Linked DNA regions of Oryzias latipes. The protein of the gene in region 1 purifies or fractionates together with the protein of each later gene. This does not show direct contact. Links are inferred from orthologs where the notes say so. Each region holds a gene or a part of one and is shown in the gene's direction. Other genes may lie near its edges. The genes, in order: hmgxb4, nucleosome-remodeling factor subunit BPTF and c14h17orf49.

Evidence for each region.
Region 2: the proteins of hmgxb4 (region 1) and nucleosome-remodeling factor subunit BPTF fractionate together in Homo sapiens (co-fractionation; 3 studies listed by BioGRID, with this or other methods). This does not show direct contact. The link is inferred for Oryzias latipes from reciprocal best matches to the Homo sapiens genes HMGXB4 and BPTF.
Region 3: the proteins of hmgxb4 (region 1) and c14h17orf49 purify together in Homo sapiens (affinity purification with mass spectrometry; 4 studies listed by BioGRID and IntAct, with this or other methods). This does not show direct contact. The link is inferred for Oryzias latipes from reciprocal best matches to the Homo sapiens genes HMGXB4 and BACC1.

The regions. Positions count from the first base shown.
Region 1 is NC_019866.2:21,061,633-21,066,781, forward strand, and holds the start of hmgxb4 (HMG domain-containing protein 4), read left to right. Parts: upstream 1-1,919; 5' UTR 1,920-2,002; intron 2,003-2,654; 5' UTR 2,655-2,717; coding exon 2,718-2,739; intron 2,740-2,920; coding exon 2,921-3,057; intron 3,058-3,140; coding exon 3,141-3,216; intron 3,217-3,296; coding exon 3,297-3,875; intron 3,876-3,951; coding exon 3,952-4,152; intron 4,153-5,149. Other genes in the region: ankrd54 (ankyrin repeat domain-containing protein 54), read left to right, coding at 1,036-1,110. UniProt on the Homo sapiens protein: Negatively regulates Wnt/beta-catenin signaling during development.
Region 2 is NC_019866.2:20,704,660-20,709,040, reverse strand, and holds part of nucleosome-remodeling factor subunit BPTF, read left to right. Parts: intron 1-11; coding exon 12-165; intron 166-246; coding exon 247-370; intron 371-456; coding exon 457-688; intron 689-3,146; coding exon 3,147-3,283; intron 3,284-3,370; coding exon 3,371-3,464; intron 3,465-3,543; coding exon 3,544-3,722; intron 3,723-3,804; coding exon 3,805-4,381. UniProt on the Homo sapiens protein: Regulatory subunit of the ATP-dependent NURF-1 and NURF-5 ISWI chromatin remodeling complexes, which form ordered nucleosome arrays on chromatin and facilitate access to DNA during DNA-templated processes such as DNA replication, transcription, and repair.
Region 3 is NC_019872.2:23,756,053-23,761,198, reverse strand, and holds c14h17orf49 (chromatin complexes subunit BAP18), read left to right. Parts: upstream 1-1,964; 5' UTR 1,965-2,270; coding exon 2,271-2,291; intron 2,292-2,788; coding exon 2,789-2,883; intron 2,884-3,358; coding exon 3,359-3,460; intron 3,461-4,095; coding exon 4,096-4,313; intron 4,314-4,389; coding exon 4,390-4,494; intron 4,495-4,584; coding exon 4,585-4,649; 3' UTR 4,650-4,882; downstream 4,883-5,146. Other genes in the region: rnasek (ribonuclease kappa), read right to left, coding at 446-528, 1,684-1,761. UniProt on the Homo sapiens protein: Component of chromatin complexes such as the MLL1/MLL and NURF complexes.

The DNA.
Region 1 (5,149 bases):
TCCTCACGATGGAGAAGATAGTTTACAGGTGAGGAGATAGCTCACCTGCCGTCCCTGCTGAGAGCTGTTTCAACCGGGAACCACCGAACCAAATCCAAATAGATCTAGTTAGTTAGCTAGTTTAACCTGCACATTTAGAATCTAAGTCCCCCCAGTCTGGCAACACTTACTGTATGTTCGGAAAGGCAGCTGACGCACTGCATGATGGGATTGTGGCTAATGTTATAGTGAAGGTCACAGATACACTGTGATTGGGCCTGTTGTCAGATCTGGCAGCGCAAGGAATTTGGGGAATTGTGGGATACCATTCCCTTTGGCTGTCTGCAAAGTGTGGGTCTTTGTCTATATGTTTTGTCATCTGGCTGTTTTATAATAATAATAATAATAATGGATTGAATTTATCTGCGCTTTTCAAGACACTCAAAGCGCTTACATTGTGTCCATTATTCATTCACTCCCGTCATTGGACGACCCGCTCATCCGCCTGAGCCACTGTCGTTTTACTCTGTTTTGCCCTTAGTTATTTTATCCTGTTATGTTTATTTATTTCTGCACCATGAATGAGGGGGAGGGAGAGGGTGATGACTGACCCCCTTGTGATGTACAATGTGGTATAGTCCAAAAAAATAATGTCAGAGGTCATAATAACTGATCCCTTAGTCTCCTTAATATATATCCCTGCGTGGGATATTGCTGGGCCATTATGATCAATAGTTTAAAATTATCTTGCAGGCTAGATATAATATCTTGATGGTTTGGATGACTTTGATACATGTGCTCTAGAATATTGTTGACAAAGAAGTTTGTGGTCAAGTGTAAAGAATTATTCTGCAAATAAGGCCCAAGCCATCATCCTTCTGCTATAATGCTTGACAGTTATACGGTGTTGGAGCTGATGGTTGGTAATTTTATGATAAACACCCATTAAACCTTAGTTTTGGACAGTCGGTGGGTTTGTTCAGAGTGAATATATAGTGAATATATGGTAAATATATTTGGTTCCATCCATTATACTATACCTTTTATTTCTTTCAGGTGGATGAAGTAACTGATTTGCTGGCTAGCTTTACATCCCTCAGTCTCCAAAAACAGAATTTCGGTGACAGGTAGAGGAGGATGGCCTTCTCAGGTCCTTAAAAAAATTGTCTTCAGGCAAGAATTGAAGTTTAATGCTAAAAGGATCGGTCTCAAACACAAACCTCAAGCCCTGCTGTGTTCTACACCTCTAATGAAGTTAAGCCACCATTTATAGAAATCTGCTGTGCTTGGTACCACATTTGCTTTTTTTGTTAAAATATTTGGCTTCAAATCTAAAGGTATTAGGAAAAAGTGCTTTGTTTGTTGACTTTTGTTTTGAATGCAGATGTTCTGTTAAAGAGCAACAATGGAAGTGGAGCTCACAGAACATTAATACGCCCTTACATGTTTGCATGAGAATAGTATTGAATGTTTTCTCATAAATCCTGTTTTTTCTTGCCTTTAATTGTAAAGTTCTGGATTAATTTGGGAAATAATTATTGAAAAGTTTTCTAAGGATTTTTAAGTTTTGATATATTATAAAATGTCTTTTTTGTTTTCTTTTTAATGTGCTTGTTTGTATGTGGATTCTGTTGTAAAGTAATATGAATTTTGCTGTTATTTGAAATTATTGTGAACGAATAAATAGCTTTAGTTCTATTAGTGCCAAATTATCGTTGATGCTGCTTGTGTTGGTCCGTGTATGTCAAATAAATGTATTTTTAAAAAAGTCAATCAATTGTTTGTTGTTTTTTAATCAAATGTTTAAAAGAATTAAAAAATGTATAAATTTTTTTATGAACATAGTAATAAAGTAGGAGTAATCATTCATGTCTTGCTGGTGCCCCGCCCATGTTTTTACAGTCGATGGCTCCTCCACACAAATTGGACGAATGGTCGAAGCTCCGCCCCTTCAGATACGTATTGTTGCTTACTGATAACAAAGATGGCGGACGGACCCGCGTAAATTGACGATCCCATTGAGGTAGTAAAACTGAATAAACACATTACTGTCTGCGTCTGGTCAATTAAAACGATACATACAAACAATATAGAGCCGGTGGACATATAAACAATTCAGACTTCAAGTCAGTCGCTGCTTTTTTTCTACTTGAGCCAACCTCGGCCTACATAGTAGTCAAAGCCTCGGACTTTCCTTAGCTGTTTTGCCTGTCAGCTGCACGTAAAGTCGGTGGCACGTATTTTTCCAGCCGGGCACATGGGAGACATTGAGCTGCCAAAGTGTAAAGAAAGGGGGTGTGTTTGTGTATGCTTGCGGTAGAAGGCGGGAAGTTCATTTTTGAATATTTATACTCGTTTGTTACAAATTGATTAACTAGCAGTTACAACTTAGCTTATTATTTTGTCGTTTTTCTTGGATTGCTGCTTGTATACTCTTTTTGGTTACACCATGGCGACTTAACCAGCTTTCTTGTGGGGAAATCCGTCAAGGGAGCCGCCATGCACATATTAAAGAGATTATATTTTGAGAGAGAAAAAAAAACTGTAAAATTCGATTTTTTTCCCCCCTGATACACTACAGCAGCCTGTATATCAAAGACAAACTGTCTTTTGGCAATTGTTTAGCTAAACGTTGAGGTGTTTTTCACATAATCTGTCACGTGATTGTCTTACAGGTGAGAACCTGCTGTTAATGTTGACCAAGACATCCCAGGACAGGTGATCATAAAGAAGAAACCATGTCATATGAGGAAATAAAAGGTAAGGGAGCAAAGTAAAGTCATTCCTCATTACACTTCTGCACTGTCACATATTTTAAAAAGCAAAAACAAAAAAAATTCTATTATTTTTTCAAGTGAGAAATTAAACTAATTTATTTAGATAGCCATTTTTAAAAATAGAAATGGACCCAAATAGGAATGATCTTCACTCAATCTTTCAGAAATGGGGATGGAGGGAGACAGAGGACTCATTGCCGGGCGAAGCCAGAGGGAGAAGAGGAGGTCCTACAAGGATCTGTTACGAGAGGAAGAGGAAATCGCTGCCCAGGTACGAAAGACATCCAAGAAAAGGCCGAAGGTAAGTTTGTTGTCTCTACCTGAATACATGATGTTGAAGCAGAGCGTGATGGCTTAAATGGACTTTCTCTTGATGCATAACAGGATTCAGAACTTTTCATGTTGGGTGGGGACTCGCACAAAAAGAAGAAAAGGCATAGTGATGACTACTATTACAGGGGTGAGGGGTTGTACAGCTGGAAAGTCATGAGTCGATGGCGGGCAATAAGGAAAAAAAAACGGTATTTGTTTTCTTCTCAGACCACGAGGGCTCAGCTCCACCTCTTCATAAGAAAAAGCACAAGTCTGCAGAACGCTCTCCACCTCTTCATTCCCCGTCATCGTCACATTCGACAGATACAGCGATGGGCCTCCTTCAGGCCATTACCTCTCCCCTTGCCACAGGCTCAGACCCCAGTCCTCATTTGCACAAGAAACCCTCCTACCCGCCCTTCTCCTCGCACTCCTCCAAAGAGCGGAAGCGTGAGAGCGGGAGCAGCGGGAGCATCAAAGGAAGCCACTCCTTCTCACACTCCAAGTCCGTGTCCTCTTCCTCCAAGAAGCACTCGTCATCATCTTCAAAGTCGTCTCTCTTTCATGGCGGAGTTCCCAAAGAAGAGCCTTTGACTTTACGTGAGGCTGACGGGCTGAAAATGAAGCTGATCATGTCTCCAGAGAAGGAGGAACCGGAGGGCTTCCCGTTTGTGTCGCACTCATCCAAAAGTGGAGGGCGCAAAGAAAAGGACAAGGAAAGAGGGCAGACGTCAAAGTCCCCCAAGAAGAAGCTGCAGCAGAGTAAAGAGCCTCTCCCTATTGTGGGGAAAGAGGTGGAGGTGGAAGGTACGTGGAATGAAGGCGGCTCCTCCGGTGGCTTTTGGCGTGATTGCAAATCAATTTGGGTTTCTGTCTCGCACAGGTCACTACGGAGGGGGCATGGGGGATGACAGCTCTTCGTCTGGGGGAGAGCTGGAGGCTGGCGAGCTGGTTATAGATGATTCGTACTCGCACATGTCTAAAAAGAAGAAGAAGAGCAAAAAAAGCAAGAAGAAAAAGGACAAAGAAAAGGACAGACAGGAGAAAAGCGGAAAAGAAAAGAAGCACAGCAAAGGATTTGGAGGTGAGTTTATGCACAGATCAGCAACTCCTATGTTCTATCAAGTATTATGCAATGTTTTTTTGGTGAAATCATCTTAATATCTTCTGTATGTATGATTTATAGAGAAAAATATAGTAAATCTTATCATAGGGCACTGGTTATATTTTTAAAAAAATATATATTTACATATATTTAGGTTTTAGGTTATGTTTAAAATGTTTGTCTAATGTCAAGTTTTTAAACGTTTGAAGAAACTTATTGCATCCCTCAAGTCTATTTTGAAAAAAACAGTTGTGACTTTAAACCACTAACCCGGAAGCAAAAATGAGAGCATTTATGGCCTCATCTTTACACCAATCACAATTACCTTCCCAAGTCAGCAGCTGCAGTTCAACAGCTGCAGTTCAACGCATAGTCAGAAACAGGAACATGTTTTTTCTTCTTTTGTTGGTGCCTTTTCGTATTTAGGGCAGCCATCTATTCATAGAGGGGGGGTCTTTTGTCAGTGCATGAGTGCCATGGCTACACGTGTCTTCATGTTAGCTGTGCTCGGCCTGAGGCGTTTCACAGTTGGATGGCTCTTATGGAAAATTCTCCACTAGATTTTACTTCAAAGTCTTGGCTGCCATAAAGGAACTCAGCGCTCCATGACCTGAAGAAGACTCCAACGTCGCCTTTGATAGATGATGATGAGCCTTAGTGGCAGAAATTTGAACGTATCTGCTGTAAACCAAAGTATTGTTCACATCTGTTCCAATGTTCTGGAAGGATTTATTGCGTGAGTTGATTTGTGTTTATTCACATTTACGGTTTATTGTAATTGCTATATTGTTTTTTTTTCCGACACTTCTAAAGTTCTGTGTATGCATGTGTGTAACGGAAATGCAGCTACTTTAACTCTCCAAAGTTAGCAACTTAAAATACATCCATTGTGGTATTTTTGTGGTTAAGCTAACATCAAGACTCCAGGCTTCTTCTGTGATTTCCAGAAACACCGCCGTCAGATTGAACTGCGCGT
Region 2 (4,381 bases), about 360 kb from region 1:
GTTTTTATTAGCAGAAACTCCGACTCCCCAGAGGAAAGGTCTTCGTTCAAGTGCCTTGAGGCCCAAAAAGCAAGAGCCAGCCAAACTGTCTGGACCTGTCGCCGTGGAGACGTGGGTGCCTGAAGAGGAACTGGAGTTATGGGAGATCAGAGCTTTTGCAGAGAGGTGGGAAGCAAGCGGTCCTCCGTGCCTTTTTATCAGGAATTCCCTTCTCCTTCTAGCCTTCACCTTTTTTTGTTGTTGCAGACTGGAAAGGGAAAAGTCCCAAGGAATAGACTCCTCCAAAAGCAGCAGCACTCTAAAGACAGCAGATGAAGTGAAGGCCCATTTGGAGCATCAGCTGAAGCAGGCCAGACTGGCAGCTCAGCAGGTGAGTTCGGCCAGAGCGGCTCCTGCCTTCTCTGCTTCCACATCCGCACCCGTCTGACCACCAGCACCAACGTCTTCTGTTTGTAGAAACGCCTCGAGCAGCAGAGACTAAATACGACTGCTGCCACTTCCACCACGACCACCATCACCACCACTGCAGCCAGCACCCCCACGACCCTGAGGGCAGGACAGGCGCCCACCGGAGCTAAAATGGTGCTGGCCTCCAAGCTCGGCTCCACAGTTCCCTTCCAGCAGGACAAGAACTTCCACCAGTCCTTTGCTTCCTGGGTTAAACAGGGTCAAACCACCAACAGCTCTGGTGAGCAGCAGCAGCAGAAGGAGGAGGAGGAGGAGGAGGTGGAGGAGGTTATCAGGAGTTAAAGTCTATTTTGACTACTTTCTCGGTTTTATTTTAGTTTTCAGTTTTTCCCCAGTATTTCATTTTTTAACATTAGGGAGCCGGTTTAGCTCGTGCTGGTTTGCGGCGCCTTCCGTCCGTGAAACCAGGGTTCGACTCCGGGCTGCTCCCTGTTCCCTTCTCTACTTCTGTGCCGGTCCCAAGCCCAGTTGCTTTGAGAAGGTTGCGTCAGGAAGGGCGTCCGGCGTAAAACGTTGCCAAGTTTACCATGCGACTCGTTCGCTGTGGCGACCCCTGATGGGAAAAGCCGAAAGGGAAACTACATTTCATTTTTTAACATTAGAATGTTGGTCAAATGGGCTTACAGCCTCTTTGAATAACACTCTGAGAGGAATCATCTGAACTCCAGTGAACCATCAGATTTTCCAAATCCCAGCTCCTGGGATTGGACACCACAGACCTCATGGTACGTGGCACAGCTCCTTTCGGCTGGCAGCGGCTCCGGACCGGCATTCCTGCTGCCCTCTGCTGGGAAGACCGTTTCCTACTCCAGAGAGCAGGAAACGGTTGTGCTTGGAGCTCATGCCTTCCAAATGTTGCTGATATGAAGATGTTTTGATGCTGCTTTCACACCGAGCGCGGTTCACGCAGCAAATCTGCATCCGCCACAGCTGTTGACGCACGTCAGATTCCCTGCTCCTCCAAAAGTGTGTCCTGCCGCGTGTGGGAGGAGCTACTATCAATAGTTTTGCTGGCACGTGAAAGACGCGGATGACATTGAGAGACCAGGATTATTTATTTAGAAGAGCTCTACAAAAGCATCGGTCACCACGTCTTCACGTCTGGGTTCATGAGATCATTCAGAGACTCTCGCGGTACGGCGAGCTTCACCATCTACTGCAGCAGCTGCGTCTGAATGACGGCGCTTTCAGTGGTGCTTCCATGTCTCTGTGACCCAGGTTGATGACTTTCTGTCACAGGAAGGAGAAAAAATTAACATAAATTCAGAGGACCTTTTTTTGTTATTGTCTCGATCCAAATAAGAAAATATCATAAAGTTTAGGAGGGGAACAAAAAGCAACAATCAGCTTCCAAGTCTCCATGTTGGTTTTGGACTTTAGCTGCTGATCATCAACGTGTCATGGACCAAAGCTGAGTCCCTGATTGGTTGACAGGATGCAAGTTCCAATATTTGAACTTTTCGCCTCTTTGCCCGCTCACTTTTCGCAAATATTATGCGAGCATGAATGAAACATGCTTGACCTGTGTGTGTTTGTTTGCACAAGCATGAGCTTGAAAGCTGTATTTGTATTGTGTACATGTTGATGTATGTGTGTGATGGTTTTTTAGAGCCAACAGGTATGTTTGTAATATTTGAGTGTGTCTGTGGAGATTGATCGAGGTCTTCCACTTTCGGCTTCTCCCATCAGGGGTCGCCACAGCGAATGAGTCGCATGGTAAATTTGGCAATGTTTTACGCCGGATGCCCTTCCTGACACAACCTTCTCAAACCGGGCTTGGAACCGGCAGAGGTAGAGAAGGGAACAGGGAGCAGCCCGGAGTCGAACCCGGGTTTCACGGACGGAAGGCGCCGCAAACCAGCACGAGCTAAACTGGCTCCCCTGGAGATTGATCGAGGTGTTGTTTTTAAAAAAATGTCAGGGTCGTTAATTATTATTATCAGTAACCAATATTTGGTGCTGATATTCATTTGCAGTGAAAGTGCAAATTTTGATATTGGCATCAAAATTTAGAATAAAACAAACACCAGCAAATAACTTTGTTCATTTAAAAATAAATAAGTCAGTAAAAAAACAAATAAATCAGTACTGGTAATTGGTCGACCCCTACTTTTGACTGTCATCTACATTTGATCGTAATTATGAGAAACCTCCAGCTACTTGTTGCCTCTTTTCATCCTCTACTTCCTTTATCCTCTATCTCTAACATCCCACTGTCTTTCTCTTTGCCTTCCCGTCCAGTTAACAAGAAATCAGTGCAAATTACTCATTACTAAGTTTAGTCTTAAATCCAAAAGGGGTTTATACAAATATACACCTCGTTTGTCAGAAGATTCATAACCCGCTATTGAACCCACTATTGTAACAGAGGCCTGCAGCTCTCATCTGTTTGCTGCTGGACAGGGCAAGCAGGAAAAAAAAGTTGCAGAAAACACGCTGCCTCTAGAGAATCGTACTGCGCCCGCCGCTCAATAAATACCTCAGGATTTCTCACCATTTTTCTCTCTTTTTGTTTTTCAGTAAAAAGCCATATTTCTTTGAATTCTTGTCGAAAATCAAACATACACGTTTCATTGAATTACTTCTGGTCTAAAATAAAACTGCTGTTTTTTGAGGGCATTTACTTCAAAAGGGTGCTGCTCTGTCCTCATCATCCATCTTTCTCCTCTCATCAACAGGTGCAGGTCAGCAGAAAGTTGTCAGTATTTTCCCATCTGGGCCTCCAGCAAACCTTAGGACCTACAGCGCACTACACCCTACAACGGGCAACATCAACCTCAGATCTGCGCCCCCGTCCTCAAACGCTCAGCAGCAGGTGCAGTGACGCTCACCCCACCAGCTTTGCTTTTAATGAAACGCAGCTCCAAAGGACGCTCACTAATGTTTGAACTTTTGTTTTTAGACCGTCACCACGGGAGGCCTGACGACCACAAGCACAGCGGCGCCCGTTTCTCCATCTACCTCCACCATGAGAAATTCAGCTGCAGCTCAACAAGGTTTCAACTTCTGCAAACTAATGTTGTTTGTGTTGTATGTTAAAAAAAAGAACTAATCAAATGTAAACTCTTGGTGCAGCTTCACCTCAGCAGGCTTTGACCCAGATGAAACGTAATCATCAACCAGCCGTCACAGGTTCTGCAGCAGCATCTCCTGCCCCTGCAGGACAGAACTTTGCTGCTCCGGCCCAAAAACCCCAGCAGGGTCAAGTCAAGCTGACGATGGCTCAGCTTATGCAGCTGACACAGGGGGCACAGGTAAAGGACAACCCCTTTTTCATTTAACCTTGAATGTTGTCGTTTATGAGGCTGAAGATGGGTTTTGTCTAAAACTATGCAGGGAGGAAACCCAGGACTAACGGTGGTGATCCAAGGTCAAGGTCAAACCCAGGGGCAGCTTCAAATCATCCCACAGGGCGTTACTGTCATCCCCGGTCCTGGTCAGCAGTTAATGCAGGCCGCCATGCCCAATGGTCAGGTGCAGCGCTTCCTCTTCACGCCTATGCCCCCGTCCTCCTCTGCTGCCCCTTCCCCAACTGCTGCTCCTGCAAAACCTGTCCCCGCCCAGACCCAGATACCCACCCAAGTCCAAGCACAGGTCCACACAACTCCATCCTCCATGGCCCAAACACAAATGACGGCACCACTGCCCGCTCCTACACACATGTCAAGCCCATCACAAATTTTAAGCTCCGCCCACAGCCCAGTTTCTGCCTCTGTTCAAACCCCAGTGGTTGCTACTTCACCTGCTCTGCCCCAGGCTGTGGCTCAAACTGCCCTACAAACACAGATCCCTGCCACTGCACCATCACCTGTCCCTACCCAGTCACTGGGTTTGGTTGGAGCGCAGTATTTAACCTCCCCCTCTCCATCGGTTTCAATCCAGCCTCCCTCAAGCCTGAGTGTGACTCCTAGAC
Region 3 (5,146 bases), on another chromosome or scaffold:
TGAGGCCGAGTGTGAAGCGGCTGAGTGAGGGTCAGCACCGCTAAATCTGAGGCCATTGTTCTCGACCCGAGAAAGGTAGCTTGCCATCTCTCGGTGGGTGGAGTGTCCCTGCCCCGGGTAGAGGAGTTTAAATATCTTGGGGTCTTGTTCACGAGTGAGGGGAAGACCGGAGCTTGAGATTGACAGGCGGATCGGAGCAGCGTCCGTAGTTATGTGGTCGCTGTATCGGTCCGTTGTGGAGAAAAGACAGCTGAGCCAAAAAGCAAAGCTCTCAATTTACCGGTTGATCTTTGTTTTCCAGTAAAGGAGTTTTTAAAACAAATCTGCCCTTAAAACAGGTGAAAACTGTCAACATATTTGGTATAAACAGTCCCTGTCTCAGTGAAATGTTGCCGTGTGTGCAAGAACCCGTGGTCTGGTTGTGTGGGGCCCTGCTGACGCTCACTCTTTAAAGATGTCGTCCTCAGTGAACGGGACGTCCTCAATCAGCACGGCAGACTTGGTGCTGAAGAAGATGCCCAGCATAGCCTGTCAGACATGAGGGGAGAATGTGAGACACTGCAGCAACAGAGACAACAAAGAAATGTTCCTAACAGGGATGTTCCTAACATCAAACCTTCAGAGGATTATGGGCTTTCTCTAACTTCAAACTTTGAAGGTTGGTTTGAACCCGTTTCTGCCCCAAACAGCTGAGCTTCTCCACCATTTTTGGACATTCTTGATCCAATTCTGCCTCTGCTGATGAATCTGACGAGTTTGCATTTTATTTTAGCTTTTTACAATAAATATCTATATATATTTTTTCTTGTAGTCTTAACATTCTCCAACAAACTTCTACGTAAAACAACTCATTGTTTAATTATTTCAGCTTCTTCTTACCTTTAGCTGATAATCAAATGTCTACTTCTCCAGCAGGTTGACGTTCACCAGAACTGTCTTTATCTAAGGTCTAAAACCAGAATCTTTGGACTTTTTCTTTAAATAAATGTGTTAGCTGCATAAATCTGTGACCTTTTGTCTTAACCCCTTCCCCTCTGCACGCTGCCGCATCACATGACACCAGTTTTAGTCACGTGATCCACGGTAGGGAAGTGGAACAGAGGACGTTTGCTCGACAAAACCAAACGCACATTAAAAAAACTACCGTACTTGACAAAACCCCACTTTCCTGATATACTTCTTTTTTTTCATGTCAATACATTTTATGTATAATCTGCTCAGTTTAACATTTTCTGTGCTGAAACAATAAAATGCTCTTCAGAGCATAAATCTCGGCCAAAAAATGTAAAAGCTCCAGATAACAGAGCTAAAGAATAACAATTGAACATGTGTTAATATCAAATAGTGAGTCAGATCTCGAAAGAGTCGCTCCTGTTCCCAATTTCCATGCTCTTCTCGTTCATTTAAATGAAGAATCCAGTTATTAGACGCATCATCTCCATTACACGTTAACCTGCTGGAGCCTACACTACACTGTGGCCTTGGTGGGACCCGTCTATTACCTGCCTATGTGTTGGCTATTGGTCTTTAGCCGTGATTCTTTTTCGTGCTCGTTTTTAAATATTTTTTATTATTATTAAATAACTGAAATAAGTAAAATCGTCTATTTAATAAATTGACTTAATCGTTGACTCGTCGATAACCCAGGAATTAGTCAGTCGTGTTCCTGTCAGGCTAACTCACCAGCATGATCACCCCCCAGATGCTAATGACGATCCCGCACGCGGCCATCTTCGGCCCGCAGAAAAGAAGCGACGGCATGACCGTGCTGGCGAGTCGGTGGGAATGTCAGAATCGGGTATTCTTCTCCGTTCGAAGCTTTGAGGAAGCCAGGAATGAGGAACGAGCAGTGTAGCCTCACTGTCAGCTGATCATCCCCGTTCGGGTTTACTAGTCATCCTTCGGCTGTTTTCGGAAGCCATCCATCGTCCAATCACAAATCAGGCTTTTACCGACCCGCCTCTTCCTTTGAGATTGACCAATGGCGCTCAATTGTTGTCATCGCACATCAACCTCCGCATCCTGTCTGCCCACCTTTGTTGTGTGTTTCTTCTGCTAGATGATTTTTCCACATATTCAGAATTTATATCAAAATATAAACACAAATCTTCCTCTTCGGAGTCTGCGCAGTTTTGATAAAGTATCCTGCAGCCTCCATGGAAGCCCGTTCACCGCCGCGACATTAGAAGCTAATTGTGGCTAACGGGTTTCTTCGTGTTTTTGTTTTTATTGTTGTGGTTTTGATTGAGAACACAACCATCTCCGGATAAATGACGTCTGCCTCTGCTAAGGTAAGCCGCGTGAGCTGAGTCTCGTGCGCGTAAACTCGTATTATCTTTATGGCGGTTGCAGCTCCGTGCGCATGCGCGTGCAAGCAAATGAGGCGTTTTTAAGGTTGCAGCGGGAATGTTAAGACATCTGCGCGAGGCTGAATGACATTTGTATTAAATAAAAACGTTGAATATTTCTTCACCTCTTCGAGTCTGAACACCTCCACTGATCCAGTTTGTGGTTTTAGTTTTGATCAGTTTTATAGTTTTGAAAATATGAAGCAGTTTAATGCTCCATAGAAATGAACAGAGACCCATTTAAGGTCTTTTTGTTTTTGTTCAACAGTTCAGCTTCAAAGTTTCCTTCAGTTGTTGTTCAGTATCATCAGAAAGACCTCCTCCTGTCAGCTTTCACTCAGAAAAGCACGGATCCTCCTTCATTTGTAAAAGGAGGAAACCTAACTACCTCTAAGCCTCCAGAATCCGGGGACCCTGATGAAAGCGGCTCTTGTCTGCAGGTGGGGGAGATCTTCTCGGCGGCTGGAGCGGCCTTCACCAAGCTGGGGGAACTTACCATGCAGCTGCACCCGGTGTCGGACTCCAGCCCTGCAGGGTGAGACCTCTAGCCCGTTCTCCGGTTAGCTCGTGCTGCTTGTTCTGAAGTTCACCTGCCCCCCGAGGGCGGGGCCTCACAGGCTGATTGGGTCTGATTAATCTGGTTTTGGGTCTGAGCTTCTCTGGTATAAAATGTTTTCAGAAAGGTTTCAGAAAGCAGATCCTGCATGGTTCCAGAATTGTAGCTCTGGATGATCTGGAGCATCAGAAAAAAAACCTGTTCTGGATCAGACCAGACCTAGTGTGGATCTGCCCCCAAACAGTTTCATTTGGAATCTGCGCTGTTCTTCCTCACCTCTTTGAGAGAAAGAGGAATCCGGACTGTTTTGTTCTTGAAATAGGAGAATCGGAGGACCAGCTCCTGAAAGATGGACCCAGACCTGCTCTGATCTTGTAAATCCAGACCTGCTGCCTTCAGACTGATCAGCAGAGGTTCAGCGTGTCCTCAGTCACTGACCTGTCTTCATCCTCAGAGCCAAATGGACCGAGACGGAGATTGATATGCTGCGCTTGGCGGTGCGCCGCTTCGGAGACGACCTCAACAACATCAGCTCCGTGATCAAAGAGCGCACTGTGTAAGTCAAAGAGCAGTCGCATTCTTAAGCAGAGCCTCATGTCAGAGTCAGAACCGGGCCGGACGAAGACCTGCACCCTGCTCCAGACTCACGCTGAACCCTGTCTGCATGAACCCCACTGATCACAGCAGCAGGAGGAACCAAAGACCTTCATCAGGGCTTTCAGAACTAGATTCTGCCTGACAGGGCGGGGTGGGGGATAGATTCTGACAGAACTGAGAGCTACTCTTCCTCATCACGGAGACAAAGACATTTATGTTCCTGCCTGAGATCAGAGCTCCTCTCGTTCCTCCAGCCAGTTACTTAGAGTGGATCCAGGTTAGATAGTCTTTCTGAACACGACAGAAAAGCTGCAGGGAGGTTGGTTTATGGCCTTGAGCAAACATAGAGAGAGGAAGAAGAGCTGCAGATGGACCGAAGCTCAGAACCAGACCTTAGACCTTCAGATCCTTTCCGCTCTAAGAGAACAGTTTTAGGGATGAAGGTATCTCTGAAGCAGTCGTTCTCCTTTCCGCCTGTTTGGTTTCTTCAGTCTTTCTGTCCTAAACATCTCCATACATCTGAAAGAAGCCTTCATTTAGTCTGTAGTCTCTTCTTATTGGTTGACAGCTGCCATTCGTCCTGCTCCTCCACAGCGCTCAGATCAAGAGCACGGTAAAGAGGAAGCTGTACGAGGACAGTCGAGTCCCCATCTCCTCTGAATCCCCGAAGAAGACCGTCAAGAAAGCAGCGGTTTCCATGGCGCCCGCCACCCCAGCCATGATCACCGTGCCGAGCTCGCAGGTTGTTGTAGCCACGGGGATGCAGAACAACCCTCCTCTGGCCCCACCCATCAAGAAACAGAAGACTGCAGGTAGGCGTGAGGCGGGTGCAGCTCTGGTCTGAGCACGGCGTCGTCCCGCCTCCTGACCGCTGTGTTGCTCCTGCAGACGTGACGCTCAGCGCTCTGAATGACTCGGACGTGAACAGCGACTTGGTGGACATCGAGGGACTCGGTGACGGCTCTTCCAGCAAAAAGCTCAACTTTGACCAAGGTTGGTGGGGTCAGGCAGCGGGCCAATGGCGCCCCCTGCTGGTTACCCGTCTCACACCATTGTAATGACCATCGTTTCTTGTTTCCTCAGAAAGTCTTAACCTGGACTCCAGCCTCATCATGAACTCCGGCGACCTGCCTCTCCTGTCCCGCTGACCCCCACCCCCCCACTGAGATCAAGGCTTACATCATGACAAACGCACTCTGGTTTTCTGGCGTGCAGGACACGATCTTCTCCAGCACGGAGTGGAGCGGACACTTTGGGTTTAAGAACGCCGGCTGGAGCTTTTGTTTCTAGATTTCAGCAGAATGATGTCTTCTTTGCTGCTGGGTTTGTGTTTGGAGAACCGCTGTTATCATAAAGAATAAAGAGGAGTTATAGATGAAGATCCGCCCGCTCACACGCTCATTTCCTTGTGTGGGACACAATCACAGCAGGTCCTCTGCAGGCTCATGTCCAGACGTTTTAACCAAAGGGTTCTGCTCCTTCAGGTTTTAAAATATTGCCTTGTTTTATGCTCTTTCAAAATAAAAGGCAAAAGCTTTAAAGACTTCCTGCCATCAGTTTGGATCTATCGTAAACGTCTTCCCAGTGGGAAAAAAATCAACAAACCTGTGATGTTTTTCTAGGACATGGCTCCTGCAGGGCAGTA